Linked DNA regions of Lepisosteus oculatus. The protein of the gene in region 2 binds, or shares a complex with, the protein of the main gene of each other region. Links are inferred from orthologs where the notes say so. Each region holds a gene or a part of one and is shown on either strand. Other genes may lie near its edges.

Evidence for each region. The genes of interacting proteins can lie anywhere in the genome.
Region 1: the proteins of flna (region 2) and itgb7 are in contact, whole or in part, in a crystal structure (PDB 2BRQ), measured with the Homo sapiens proteins. The link is inferred for Lepisosteus oculatus from reciprocal best matches to the Homo sapiens genes FLNA and ITGB7. Residues at the interface, in NP_001104026.1 of Homo sapiens: Thr2263, Gly2267, Ala2268, Gly2269, Gly2270, Leu2271, Ala2272, Ile2273, Ala2274, Val2275, Glu2276, Gly2277, Pro2278, Ser2279, Lys2280, Ala2281, Ile2283, Phe2285, Phe2311; in NP_000880.1 of Homo sapiens: Pro776, Leu777, Tyr778, Lys779, Ser780, Ala781, Ile782, Thr783, Thr784, Thr785, Ile786, Asn787, Pro788.

What each region holds. Positions count from the first base shown.
Region 1 is NC_090696.1:20,659,742-20,666,851, forward strand, and holds the start of itgb7 (integrin beta-7), read right to left. Parts: upstream 3,027-7,110; 5' UTR 2,904-3,026; intron 1-2,903. UniProt on the Homo sapiens protein: Integrin ITGA4/ITGB7 (alpha-4/beta-7) (Peyer patches-specific homing receptor LPAM-1) is an adhesion molecule that mediates lymphocyte migration and homing to gut-associated lymphoid tissue (GALT).
Region 2 is NC_090697.1:66,962,120-66,970,007, forward strand, and holds the start of flna (filamin-A), read right to left. Parts: upstream 3,038-7,888; 5' UTR 2,800-3,037; intron 1-2,799. UniProt on the Homo sapiens protein: Promotes orthogonal branching of actin filaments and links actin filaments to membrane glycoproteins. Anchors various transmembrane proteins to the actin cytoskeleton and serves as a scaffold for a wide range of cytoplasmic signaling proteins.

The DNA of each region.
Region 1 (7,110 bases), on a different chromosome or scaffold from region 2:
AGCATGAAATATTTAAAACTTTTTAAAGTGGATTTCAATGCCAGTTACACGATCAAGGTGTACAACGACATTCTTCATTGCTTGTAATGACCACATAGTTCAATTCAATTCAGTGGATTTTTATTTAGCGCCTTTCACAACAAGGTTGCCCCAGGGCCCTTAACAAAGCAATTGACCTTACATGTTGTGAATACAGAACAGAAAAGACCAGAAGACAACGGAGGAGAGGAGCCAAAAACTCCTCAGTAAGGAGCCAGGCGCTCACTTCACCCGGGGCTCTGCATCTGATCCCCGCATCGTGCGAGCACAGGACCTGGTTGTGCCCGGCTCCGTCATGTTTTTAACTTCCTGCTCCTGTCCTTGTTCCCCCAGCCGGTCCCGACCCAGCACCTGATTTTAATCTCCTGTTTGGACAGATTTCTCAGCCTTGGACCTTTTGCTTTCGTTTTTGGATTCCCTCTTTTGGATTTATTCTTAGACTGTTCGCCTCGACCACACCTCCCCGGATCACCAGCACCGTATGGACACGCCCCCCTGTTTTCATCCCTGTTCCTGCATGACTAGTGCATTCCTTCCTCACTATTCTGGATCGTGTCGTCCACATAGGGTCCGGATAGAACTGTTCGTTACACATCTGTTGAAAGGATGAGTGAGGTCAGATACCCCCCAAACCAAACAGCTTCTGAAAATGGCTCCAGCAAAGGCTTGGCAAAGCATCTCAACAGAACAACCCAAGAACCTGGCGATGTCGCCTGGGTCACACGCTTGATGCAGTTATTGTGTCCAAAAGATCAGCAACCAAACAATCACGTTTTATACTACTTTACGTTAATTTCTCCCTATACCTATGTTCACTTAAAATGGGGGGATAAAACACAAAAAGTGGTGTTCTTCTGAACCTGCACGCCATATAAGCACAGAAATATCCAGAAATGAAAGGCGACATTCTGTACTTTTGCATCAAATTCATCTTTTCATCTCAAATACAAATTTCTTGAATATATAGCAAAAATAGAAATGATTATGTCATCCATCCATTTTCCAACCTCTTTATCTAATTCAGGGTCCATCGGACACCAGTCCATCACAGAACACACACAGACACACTCACACCAGGGCCAGTTTTCCCAGAAGCCAATTAAGCTGCCTGCATGTCTTTGAACTGTGGGAGGAAACTGGAGCACCTGGAGGAAACCCATATAAACCATGGGAGAACATGCGGACTCCACCCAGACAGCACCCCAGGACTGGAATTGTAACCCAGGGCCCGAGTGCTGTGAGGCAGCAATGCTGACCCCTGTGCCACCCTGCAGCGGTGCGAAAGAAGCTGAAAACGTTTGCTGAAGGATGAGGCTGGAAGCAAGAGAAGAGCCTCCTTCACCTGATACATTGGCGCCTCCGAAATGTCAGCGAAGCTGCGGCACAAACATCCATCGAAACCCCAAAAGAGCACGCACTGCATCAAAACACGTCCGCAGCCGCCCAACTGCAACTCCAGAGAGCACGCAGCGAGATTCATGGTCAAAACCTATTTCAACGCAGTGTGGTAAAAACACAAAGTCTGGCAAAATCGCTTGGGTTGATACGCCCCTCGGATCCACAGCGCGACCCAGCTCCGGTTTGAATTAGCACCTCGCATCTCACGTTTGGAGCATCAGTTAAGCTAAAGTTTCTCGCAACAGTTGTTTTTTCATCATTATTATTTGTATCCTGTCCCTCTCGCCTTTGAAGTCCACACCCTTGCAGGGCTAGACCCCCGCTTCTCCTGTCTGTCGAACCGCAGAGGCGCGCCTGACTGCTCGGCGAGAACCAGCGGCCACCAACCTCCAGCTCCGCGATCAAAACACGAACAACAACACGTGTAAACCGCAACACCTGAAGCCTCCACACACCTCCCTTCCTTTCCCACTTTCCTGCAGCCCGTTTCACTACCTGCGCAGCAACACGGTGCATCGCGGGCGCCATTTAAAGCTCTTAACACAGAAATCACGACAGATCTTGGCGGGCATCAAGTTAATTCCGTTGAACTGAGATGCCAGATTTGCGCTCAGCCCCTTTTGGCCTTTCATTCGGGGCTGTACCGAATAGACTGCCGAAGCAAAGAGAATTTCACAGGACGAAACATTTAAAATCACACCAATTATATACGGAATTTTTTTTTACCAGGCCACGACAGTTGTGTTCATCAGTTCGTCCTAGTTTTGCATTTCTGTGGCGCTTACAACGCGGGACTGAGACATTATTCACGGTTCCAGACCTCTCGGCGTCACCCACAGTACGAGCTGCGCTCAGCAGGGAGCTCCAGTAACTTCTGAAACAGCTTTCTGTCCCGTCGGGCGAATCGGGGGTACGTTTCGTGGAGCAAAAATAAACGTATAAATGTTCGAATTAGGTCTTCAAACACCCCCGTGAAAGTGTGGTCCTAATTAACCTGGAAATCTGGCTCTTCGGGGCCGGGGGTGGTTCGTGATAAGAACTGCGTAAGGACACAACATAATGAACCTTTACATTCTTAAAAACTGAACCGATACCGAGGGGTGATGTACTGTAGCACCAGGGAACACATGAGGATAAAAACCCGGACCAGAAAGTTTCCGTCTTGTGTGTCGCATGTAGCTACAGAAAGAAATGGATTTTGTTTTTTTGTGTATCGGAAAATACGTGAATCAAACAAAACCAATCATCTTCACACCATCACATCTAAGACACAGAAATGCTCCAACTGCCTCGTCTCTCTCAGGCTTTTCCAATAAGAAACTCGGAAACTTCTCAACTGGGCAGGAGCTGTAACAGAAAAGCACCACACCGTAAATCCTGACGAATACCTGCACTGAACACCCGGCCACGACACCAACGCGATGCGAAAGCAAGTTTCGTAGATGTTTTTTGTCATCTTTACTCACGATAACCGTGGTGTTTTGCCCGTCACCCTCCGTCCGCCGGTCCGCGCGAGGCGAGATCTGCAGGTCTGTGAAGGGCTGGGCACGCGCAGCTTCACGCGCCTGCAGGAGTAGCTCGAGCGGTTTCTGACACGTGCCCCAATAGACAGGCGCTCGAGCTCGCAGCTCCAGGGAGCGTCGACAGTTGCCGCTGAAGTTAGCTTTTTAGTTATGAAACATGAATATATTTCTATTATCCTGAAAAATCTGGAGTTTAAAACCTAGACTTGTGGGGTGAATAACGGTGATATAGGATATAACCCAATACACTGTACTGTATATTTGAAATGAAATTGAGATTTTACCACAAAAACCTTTCGGTTCTCGTATTCTAAAACGTCATAAAAATTCTTATTCATTCTGTACCACAATTGCTACACTTTGCTTAGATGCACCTGGTAGTGCCGTTTCGGTGATAATCAAGTAAATTTTTGTCCTCGTTCGGCCATGACTCGATGAAGGAAGTTATTCTTGAGAGTTGAGGATCTGAGGGGATGTCTCTGAGGAGGGTTAATCTCGTGAAACAGACACCCTTTTATAAACATTAGTTATATATGTATAAGATAAGATTTAATTGTCCCCTGAGGGAATTGTTTTATGGACACACAGCACTCCTGTACATTTAAATAGAATGCAAACCAAAAAGAAGAAAGGAAAAACATTGCACATTATTCTATTACAAAAAAATAAGAAAAACATTGCACATCACTCTATTGCACACGTATAACACGTAACAACATGTAACATTTATAACACCTCACAAAACATATTGCGCTCAAGTGGGTTGTAAGAGTCAAAATTGTGTTTATCCTTAACATTTGCGTCGACAGCTTTAATGGAGAGTGGAACAAAGGAATGTTTGTATCTGACTTACATTTGGGAACCCTAAAACGTTTGTCAGCAGGAAGAAGTTGATATTCAGAGTTGAGGATGTGGGAAGGATCTGATATAATTTTTCCTGCCTGTTTGATTATGGATCTTTCAACGATTGTCTACAGGGAGGGGTGCTGTTTCACTCCCACGACCTTCAAAGCTGTGTGGATGAGGCGGGTAATTTGCAATGTTTAAATAAACTGATAGATTACCAAACTATTAGCATGGTAAAAGAGTAGCATTACTTCCTGTCGAACCCCAAACGCTCTCCAGAAATTTAAGCGCTGCTGAATTGATGAGCAAACACTCTCAACATGAGTAGACCAGCACAGGTTACGGTCTATGTGTACACCTAAGTACTTATACTTTATGAATCAACCTGAGTGATAAATTCGTTGTGGATTACTACATGGGAGTGGTCATCAACTGCTCTGGGATCAAAAACAGTTTACAGTCGCAGTCCACTGCCCAGTTTCTCCAGGAGTGTGACTTGACCATGACGCTGAACTCCGAGGCGCCGGGAGTCGAGCTGGATTGTTCTTTCCTTAGCAGGCGCCTCTATTCCAATGCATTACACTTAAACATTCACAGTACGTGAGGACAGGGTTGAGCTCAGCCGTACACTTACGGTAAGACTAGAGTGAATAAAGACGAGATCAATTTCGATCGGCAGAATGAAGTGTGTTGTAGAATGATTCGGAGTCATCACTGTTCAAAACAGACTACAATCCAAATAAAGACTAATTCTTCCGCCATCAATTCAGATCTGACTACAGAGGGGGTACAAAGCTCTCATTTCCTAAATCGGTCCAGACTTGGCCTCCAAGTCTGTCTCCGCCGCCTGCGGACTCAAAACAAGGCGTTGTCTCCATCTAGCGACAGGATACTGTCACTGCACGACTCCTGCTTCTCGTACCGGAGAACGGCCGCCTACGGAGAGAGGCTCCAACTCCGTTATTCCTGATTGTAGTTTCTTTTTTGGGGGCGAGTGCGTTGTTGTTTTCACTTGATTTCATTAGCGGCGTTTTACGGAACGTTATACTTGGGAGTACCCGTGCACAGGCAATAGCTGTGTAGCTCAAACTCGAAGCAGGAAATGCTAAAAACAGGAACTCGTGCTCGTCCGCTGAGAAAGACGCGCGAGTTCCTGCTACTGGGAGCCTGGCGGAGGAGCGCGTGGCCCCAGCCTGTCACGGGCTGAGGTCAGGCGGGGCGGAAGGACTGAGGCAATAATAAAAACAGATTAAAGACAATTCGTGACCTCAAGCCCCCGTTTTACAACATAGAGAGTGCAAATTGCTGCAACCACCGATACTTCGCTGAAGTTGTGCAATTAACCACAGACGGGCAAGAGCCTTTTTGAAATTCATTTAATTATTAAATAAATTATTAAAGTTAATTCAAAAGCACGGGTAAAAGATTGGTCTGAGTCACATCGAATGCACCATTGTTGAAAGGTACTGACTGATACCTGGCTGATAGCTGGAATGGAAACAGAACAGTGACAAGGGCTCTTGAGTCGAGAATGGTTCTGTGTTCAGAGCCCGGGAGGGCCCAGGAGACAGTAAAATACCCAGCCGTAGAGACGGTTGTCCAGATCAGCACTGTACACGCAAGTCTGCTTTTTGATAGACATATCGGCTTAAATAATGTAACAGATAAAAGAAACAAGTGAAATAGAATGAAAGAAACCCCTCGATGTGATTCATAGGGCAATTCTAGAACTCTTAATTCTGGAATTCGAACATTGAAACCACCCCAAAAACACCTTCTCGATGGCACTCTCAATTAGTTATATGACTACACCTGTCCTACTAAGACCAATACAGACAGTATTGACAGACTACAAGCATACCGGACTAGAAGTTCCTTTGCTACTCAGCTGTTGAAACAGATTAATGTGATACGAATTAGACGGACACAGGTTGTGATGCAGCCACTTTGAAATGGAGTGCTATTAGCTGGATGTTTCCTATCGGCTGACGTGTTGATCCTGTCTCATTATACTGTGCATGTTAATTGGCTGAGGAAGCAGAACTGATGTAAAAGGAAAGCAGTTGGAGATCAGGAGCTGGAACCGACTGCAAGCTTTCTGAGAATTACCCTTCACTCCGGAGTGCATCCGAGCACACCCAAGCACATCCGAGTTGATGCGAACTTCCACAGGCCGTCTGAAATGTAGCGAATGAGAACCACAGTTCTGTCGTCTCTGGGCATCCTCCCTTCACAAGCCTGCGCCCTGCGGGCTTCTCCCGGCAGTGGGGACATCCCGGGCAGGAGCGAGTGGTCAGCCCCTGCCTCGTGTGCAGCCCTTTCCCGCCGCGCATTGCCAGAGCCACTCGGCGTCGCCCGGGTCTCTCTCGAGCGACGCCCGCCGTGGGGTTTGGGCAGCAGGGGAAACCCTCAGAAGCCCAGCCTTCCTGACCAAAGACAGGAGTTGCAGGAGGAGAAGGGAAACTGGTGCAGTTCGGGTTCAGCTCCGCTCCAGGGGGAGGGTCCCCTCATCTTCTGGGTTTGTCCCCCCCAGTTACAGAACCGGTCTAATCATACAATTGTAACACTTCACATGTAAGAAGTGTTACAGTTTTTTTTAATTTCCTAAACCAAACCAACCTAGTTTTGGAGCTGGGTTAGCTGTACTTGTAATTGTAACGAATACGGCCTTGCGTATCACAGGGATCTCAGCGGCCCGGGCTGAGGGAGGTCTCCTTTAGCTCAGCTGGCAAGTTCCCCATAGCGTGACGCCAGAGACCCGGGTTCGCACCCTGGCAGTGAGGGATGAACGGCAGGGCAGGAGCGGCGAGGGCAGAAACACCAAGAACGTCACAAAATGAAGTGAAAGTTTAGGGTTACCAAATGTAAAAAGCCCTAGGAAACCTCCTATACGTGTCAAAGTGAGAAGATCTTCAGGTTCGTCGTTTAATATCTCAAGAACAAAAGCGAAAGACACTGGGCGTTCCTCAGAGAGCTCAACTGGCCCAGCAGCTGGCAGTTTAAGGGTGTTAACACTGGTGCTCAACCTGGGCCCTGGAGGAGCCCTGTGCGTCTCCCGGTCTTCAGTCCAGGGGTCTCGAAGAAATGTAGCAACTAGAGCTCCACCCTTCCTTGGTTATTAAGCGTGTGCCATCTGATTTCCATCCAAGCAACTTCTAAGAGGTGCCGAAGTGCCGGTGGGAATCAGACACTTGCATAGCACGACCCTTTGATCCGAAGAGCTCCACTTACCTCCAGAGCACACACCTGGATGAGAATAGGTGTGGAACAGATAAATTAGTAAGGATTGATGAGTTACAGCTCT
Region 2 (7,888 bases):
TCGAGATGAGATGGAAGGAATGTAACAAGGGGCATTTCTTTACAAGGAGAAGCTAGTAGTGATCTGGAACTAAGTTCCCAGAGACTTATTGATGAATCCGACACTCGGGAATTCTTTTAAAAAAGACGCCTGGAGGCTTGACAGCAACTTCAGCAACAGATGGTGCTGTATTGGCTCAAATCTTCGGATAATATTTTGTTACAAACTTGTGTTTCTCGGGGCAGCGCTCCAAATTAGTCTCGTTTAACTGTGTTGTTCTTTTGAAGGCATCCTATAACAAATACTAAAGCTAATAATTTTCACTGTGCATTGTCCAGTTTTGCAAATACTCCGGAAGTCCTGTCGCCTTGACAACAGCCAAACTCTACGTCAGATCACACTGCGGGCTATTCGTCTTTATGTCTCAGGACATTCTACCACAGTGTTGAAAGAGAATATGAGCAGTCCCGTTCAAACAACTGCCTAATCCTGCACAGAATTCCGCAGTGATATTGCATTTTCTCTGAATGTGATTTCCCAACATCCTGTATCCCCCGAATTTAAATATCTGGCAAAACCATTATGCGGATTTCTACACCCATACTTAACGCGAGTATTAGGAAAGTCTTGTTGCGCAGGAAACGTATTCAATATCCCTGGGCAAATTCCAATTAAACCAATAATTTAATGGTATGTATCATTACAATAGTATGGATTTATCGTTGGTACCGGTATATTAAGTACGCAGAACTGTGACGTACGTTAATGTAGTTCAACAACACGTTATGGCATAATTCAGCAAACAACAGTCGCGGAAGAGTTTGCTACTATCAGATCTATACTGAAACACAACTGTTGACCGAATAGCATCTAACATCTTTTTTATTGTATCACTTACTAGCCGACATAAAAACGCGTACAGTAGGTATACCGTGATAGTTTCTATCACAAACATGATTTTTTTTTATTTCTACCATAGCAAGTATATAATAACTACTAGCTAATGTGTCAGGAGTTTAAGAGTGATGTGTGCTGCCATGACATAGCCAACGGAAGCACAGTACTGTAGAAAAATATGGGGCATATCAGTAATGTTGAGCGATATCACACGTCTCGACCTGTAACCGTGTTATAGCTATGGCGCTGCAGTTTTCTGCATCGCGCTACCTCTCTCGACACACGGACCACACCCTTTTATTTTCAGTACGCGTTTCTTCTGCAGAAATTTTCACCAAATGCTCTTCTTAAGAATTTTAAAAATACACCCCACAAACAGTCAGTGACCCAGTTTTTGCAGCTTCAACCGCAAGGAAACGATACATATCCTGTCTTCGGCTCACAGAAATGAAACACACTGATTTGAGTTTACCAAAACATCTCATCCTGTAGTTTCGTTCTAACTGTGGCTGGCATGGCATGGGCGTGATGAGTTCTTTTAACAACTTTTATATTAACCATCGTTTCATGTTGACATACTGTTCTCTGCAACTTGGACACTGTTGTTTTCAAATTACACTGCACCTAGCCGTTGTCAGCCTACAATTAACTGAAAACATTTTATAGACGTGTTTCATATTGCGAACTTCAAATCATATCTCTACTCTTATCACTCATTTAATGCAAATTATTGTTTTTTTTATTTTTAAACTGCCCCACAGAACTTTATTTACTTATTAAACATCTGGAAAAATTGCACCAACCAACACAGTCAATTCACACAGTCCGCCCTGGAAAATTCAATAACATACACTATGAGCAGTTTTTTTTTTCTGAAAAAAGATAAATAACTGATACTTACTTGCATATGGTGCACTAATGCACAGAATTTAATCTAGAGGAATGGGGGGTGTAGTTTGTGTACTAACCATGCCTGAAACGATCTGACACACAAACAATATAAAACAGTCAGGAATATATAACAAAAACGGCCAAAAGTCTACATTAAGACTGAAATGGTAATAAAAAGCCACAAACATTCAAAGTATAACGTTCATTCTTTTTTATAAAATATTCCTTGATTTCATGTTGAAAAACGGTTGTTACCACTAGTGGGCGCCACCGTCAACATCCAATATTCCCGATTAGCAGAAGCAGATACATAAACTTTTTCATAGTTTCCCTTATTTGGTGAAGAGATTTTAATTAGATTACATGACTGATGCATTAAAATCATGTTATGCGCGGAGGATACAAGACACCTGTAAATGCACTCCACTTCAACAGCAACTAATAATAATGACATTACGACCAGATAAACAATTGTGCACATGGAATATTTTAATACATCTATATTGCAACCTACGGTGCAATTGATATGGCAATGCACCATATCATGCAAATTTGTATAAGCGCACTGTCATTTGTAGCTGACATTTTTCTATTTAGCTTTCATGAGCACATTTAATCGTCATAAAACAAAGATTGCACACAAAGCATCAGCTTTTCACAAATCAACTGCTTCCAAAACTCCAAAGATAAAAATCAAATAAGGAATAATTACTCTTTACAAACAACGACAAATCACAACACCAGATTAATAAGACCCTACAATTTAAAATATAAGCCCTTCCATTTTGACCCATATAACTATTTGATTGTTTTGGCAATTTATCAATCAGTCCCATATAATTACTCATAAACAGATTTCTGACAATGGCAGAACGTAAAAGAATTGCTAATCATTAGACTTGTGATGCGCCGTTACTTACGATAGCCGCTGTAAGACGTAAGACAAGCAGTTCCCAAAATGTGAATTTAAAATTAAAGCGCAACGTTGACAAGCCCGCTACTAAATATGTGGTTAAAAGCTGCAAAACTTACTCTTTTTAGCTTTGTATTCGATTGGTTCAGCGACCGGAGGCACACCGAACAATCTCTTTCAGGTTTGCGTTAAAAGTTGCTCTGTGTTATAGCACGAAATGTTCTTCCCTCCCCAAGTGCTTCTCTTGGGGAAATGAGTTCGTATTCCTCGACAGACGGGAGAACAGAAGTGACACCCTCTCGTTAACTCTCTCCCTCTCTCTCTCTCGCTCTCTCTCCCCTTTGCGTCCTATTTAAAATCCTTAATTGGTAAAATATCAAATGTGAACAGGGCTTTTTGAGTGTGTGTGTTCTGCAAAGCTGACGCGTGAGTGGAACCCCGCCTTTGGATTTTAAAGGTATGATGTCACCCCGTTCGGCTCTCATATACAACTTTAAATCCATTCTAGCCCTGTGGGATGTCAGAAAGCATTGTGTGAGTGTTTTACTGCATTAAAGAAGGGCACTCCTTGGTCAACTTGAACTCCCTCTCTCTAGCTTAGAAGTGAGCTCAGGCATTTGGTCATCCGCCACGTAGGTGTTGCAAGAGCATGCAGAATTGCAGACTGCCCCGGGGTGAGAGAGTATGTTAGAGACGTTTGTGGGCTGAAGTTTGTATACTGCATCGAGTTTGAGTAGCTCATGTTGGAATAAAATGTGTGTGGGGGGGGGGGGAAGACAGACAGAAAGAAAAAACTCTTTGAAGAAAGATACTTTAGAAATTAAGAGAAATGGTGGCATAGTGGCAAAGTGGTTAGCATTACTTCTTTGCAGTGCTGGTGCCCTGGGTTTAATTCCAGACCTGAGGTGCTATCTGTGTGGAGTTTGTATGTTCTTCCCGTGTTCATGTGGGGTTTTACTCCGTGTTCTGGTTTCCTCCCACAGTCCAGTGGTGTGTGTTTGTGTCTGTCTATGTGTGCCCTGCAATTGGACTGATGTCCAGTTCAAGATGTATACCTGCCTTTTACCCATTGCTTGTCAGAAAAGACACCTGCTCCCTTGTGACCCTGAACTGGATGAAACAGTTAGAACTTGGTATTTTTTGGATGGCTGGATTAAGGGAAATTTTAGGTGAGAATCCTAATTAGTCATAGACATATCTCCCTGCAACCCACTGAAGCTCAGCAGGTGTGAGCCTGGTCAGTACCTGGATGGGAGACCTCCTGGGAAAGCTAAGGTTGCTGCTGGAAGAGGTGTTAGTGGGGCCAGCAGGGGGCGCTTACCCTGTGGTCTATGTGGGTCCTAATGCCCCTGTATAGTGACAGGGACACTACACTATAAAAAGGCGCCGTCGTTGAGCCAAGACGTTAAACCGAGGTCCTGGCTCTCGGTGGTCATTAAAAATCCCATGGTGTTTCTCAAAAAGATTAGGGGTGTAACCCCGGTGTCCTGGCCAAATTTCCCATTGGCCCTTACCAATCATGGCCCTCCTAATAATCCCCATCTGTGAATTGGCTTCATTACTCTGCTCTCCTCCCCACTAATAGCTGATGTGTGGTGAGTGTTCTGGTGCACTATGGCTGCCGTCGCATCATCCAGGTGGGGCTGCACACTGGTGGTGGTGGAGGGGAGTCCCCATTACCTGTAAAGCGCTTTGAGTGGTGTGGCCAGAAAAGCGCTATGTAAGTGTAAGCAATTATTCATTATTATCATTCATTGTGGCTGCATACAGTACACACTCTAACACCGAAAGGTGTTCCTCGTTCAACAGGTGAGTAGTTTTGCAATGCACTATGGGTCGCAGATCTGTGGGAGTCAGTGGAATCCTCTCTTTCAAAGGGCCAGGACAGTCTGCAACTCAGATTAAGTGACAGCAGAGAATCCGAAGTATCTCTGTAAAGTAATGCAGGAGCTAGCTTGTGTACCATTCTGTTGCGGTTGTATGCAACACAATATTACTGACCCTGAGCAACAGACATGTCTGTTTTCTGACTGCAGGGGAAAGGAGATCTGCACAGGAAGCATGACTGTCAGAGCGAAAGGAGGCAGAATGAGGTTCTGTTACACCAACTCTACTGCTAACCAACCTGCTGCCGCCAAAATATTTGTATGGTGACAGTACCCACTCCTTCCAGACATAGTGCATAGGACCTTTTTACTGTATGTACATGCCAGTTGATTAAAATATAAAAAATAAGAAAGTTAGGACATGATTATCCATAACACTTTTCTGCTTCATTGTCTGGAATATTCTGTAAATTGATTTACCGTTCCTGCCTTATGTTGTGGCACAGTGTTTTTTTCCGGCACTCAACTAAAAAACTTTCTCATCAAATTGATCTCCCCTTTAGTCCTCATACTCTGGGAATACTCTGTCACACAACACTATACTTCAAAGCTTGGCTACATCAAATTACAAGGTGTACTTAAGTATGACTTGCCAATGTTACTTAAATTAACTTTAAGAGAAAAAAAATGTTACCTGCAGAAATTCATTTACTTTATTTTTTTAGTTTAGTTTGTTTATCACATTTTAAATCAATAAGCATTATGATTCCGGAATACCTTAAAATATATACAGTAAGTTGACCTTGACAGCCTGATGTTAACCAAAATGTCAAACAATGCAAATTTCTGCAACTTTGCTTAGATAGTCACATCATGTCAGGCAACAATTATGGTATTATTTATTTCCCTGGGTGACAATTACATTTTTGTGCTGAAAACATGCACTACTGTATATAAAAATCAGTCAATCATATAGCAGTCTTAATGTTCATATCAATAGCCGACATCAATAACTGGTTGCATCTACTGCATAATATTATTTTTTAAAACAGTGTGAACATGGGAAAGGTGTATAGAATGAGCATTATTGTTCCATGGATAAATTATGAGCATGGATCATGGGATTTTATAAAAACACTAGAAATGAGTTGATGAAGAAACTGTATTAATAGTTATTCAATAGGTATGATTTTAATTATCAAAATAAAAATAACATGAAATATACAAGTGTACCCTGCTTGGGCAGTAAAGACTGTGTGGATGCTATTAGAATAACTGAATTAGTCTGTCTTTGAGAGCAACTCAACCAGCAGACTAGTCCAGAGACACCAGGGAACCGGCCGTGTGAGAGACAGACCATGTCCTGGAAAACAGGGTCACCATACCTACCCAGAACCATTACACTCATCTCATCCTCCTGCATAATACTTTTCAGACTGCATTGGATACAGAAGATATTCCAGGAAGAAATAAATAAAGAATCAGCTGAATGATTGTAGCTTTCCATATTCACGAAAATAATCGGTCTACTTGTCCATTCATGGGTAGTACATTGAGAAATTAAAATGTCATCTTCTGTGTACCAAAGAATGTCAGCGTTGGCTGCAGAGAGAGTGGAGGTGCTGATGTTTTGTTCACAGATTAACTCTGTTTAACCCTTCACAGATCTGACAGAAGATAATGCATAATGATGGAAGTGTGAAGATATAGAAGGAAATCTGTAAAACAAGATTTGTGTCAATGATACAAAGTTAAGCCAACAAATAATTTATTCCTGCATGCAAATCTGCAAGTGTCCATTTTTCAGCAGGATGTTGCAAAACCATAGACTAATAGAGTTATAATTTGAAGGAATCTCTGTCAAAGTCGTATAGTGACCATTATTTTCTCCTGTCTTGATACCAACAGAACTTTCACTTTCATTTAATCAACATGAGACAACTGTGAGTGACAAACATTTTCCAGCTAGCTGCAGTTGCACAGGAAGAGTGACAGAAAAGTGGGCAGCAGTGTGCTTTAAACAGACTTTAGACTACTTTAGTACTAAGGCTCTGACTTACCAGAATTAAGTGATTTTCTAAAAATGGATGGATATATAGGAATGATGTTATCCCAGTGGTTCTGATCACAATGTCCAGTTCATTCGTATTCTAAGAAATAGAATGCATTGTATTTTCTGTTGTGTTCAGGAAGTACCCCAAAATTTGTATGTGATTCACAGTAGTGAGATGGGTCGATAGCTCTTAAGATAATCTAATGGTTATTAGATTTCAGGATAGAAGTGAAAGCTTTTCTCCCGATCTTTGTGAGTCTGTTACATTCTGGTCAGTATTGAGAATATCTTATTGAACCGGGTGTCTCCCCAAGTACAAAAGGAAGGCATATAGAAAGTACAGGTGTTGAGGAATTCTCCATTTCTGTGCAGTGTATACTATGTAACTACATGGAATGTTACAATATTTATAAAAGAAGGTCAAAATGCTTGAAAGACCAGGCATTACAGGGTGCTTATGAATGTGCATTGAGGTCACAATAAAGAAAACACATACTGTATGATGGATAGCTATATGAAGATCAGAAGGGGCAAGGCTAGGATAAATATCTATGGTTCTAAAATAGCAGGTTAAAGTCAAAGAGATAGCAGAAGTCTCTTCAGTTTAGACTGAAACAAAGCAAAGGTAGGGTACACCCACAGGATTGTATGGAAAAATGCTGTATTACGTTTATATATTAGCCACAAACCTGCAAAAATATATTTTATTAAATTATTGCCATTTAATAAATCAAATGTCAATAATACTTCTGAATTGTGCCTTTCAATTTGTTTCATTACAATGAGTAAGTAAACTATATTAGGAACAAGTAAAAGGTTTATTCCATGCTGAAAAGAAAAGAAAGGAAAGGCAATGTTTTGGCTGTGGATTCTATTGTTTACATTATTTTATTATATTTATATTTCAGCATCAGCATCAGCATGTTGGGAAAGAGAAAAAATAAGGACTGGGAAACAAAGCAATTTACTAAATGTGCTCCAAAGCTCTAAATGAAAGGTACTGTATGCACATGGTGAATATAAATTGTATCACTATCAAATAGTTGGACCATAACTGAATTAAATAGAGATATTCATTTAAATAAAATGGTGTCCAAAAACCATTTTGAAATTTAAGTTTCATTTTCATTTCCTTCATAAATCATGCAGCACATATTTAAAATAATAAAATGAAAACCATACACAAAACAATGAGTCATAACAAAAAGATTTATTTTTCTTCCGTTTTTTTCATTATACAAAAATAATGCATTTAGGATTATAAATCAAGCTTATTTGAGATAATACAACTTAAAACACTAAGAACTGAGATAAAGCCATTAAGGTAGA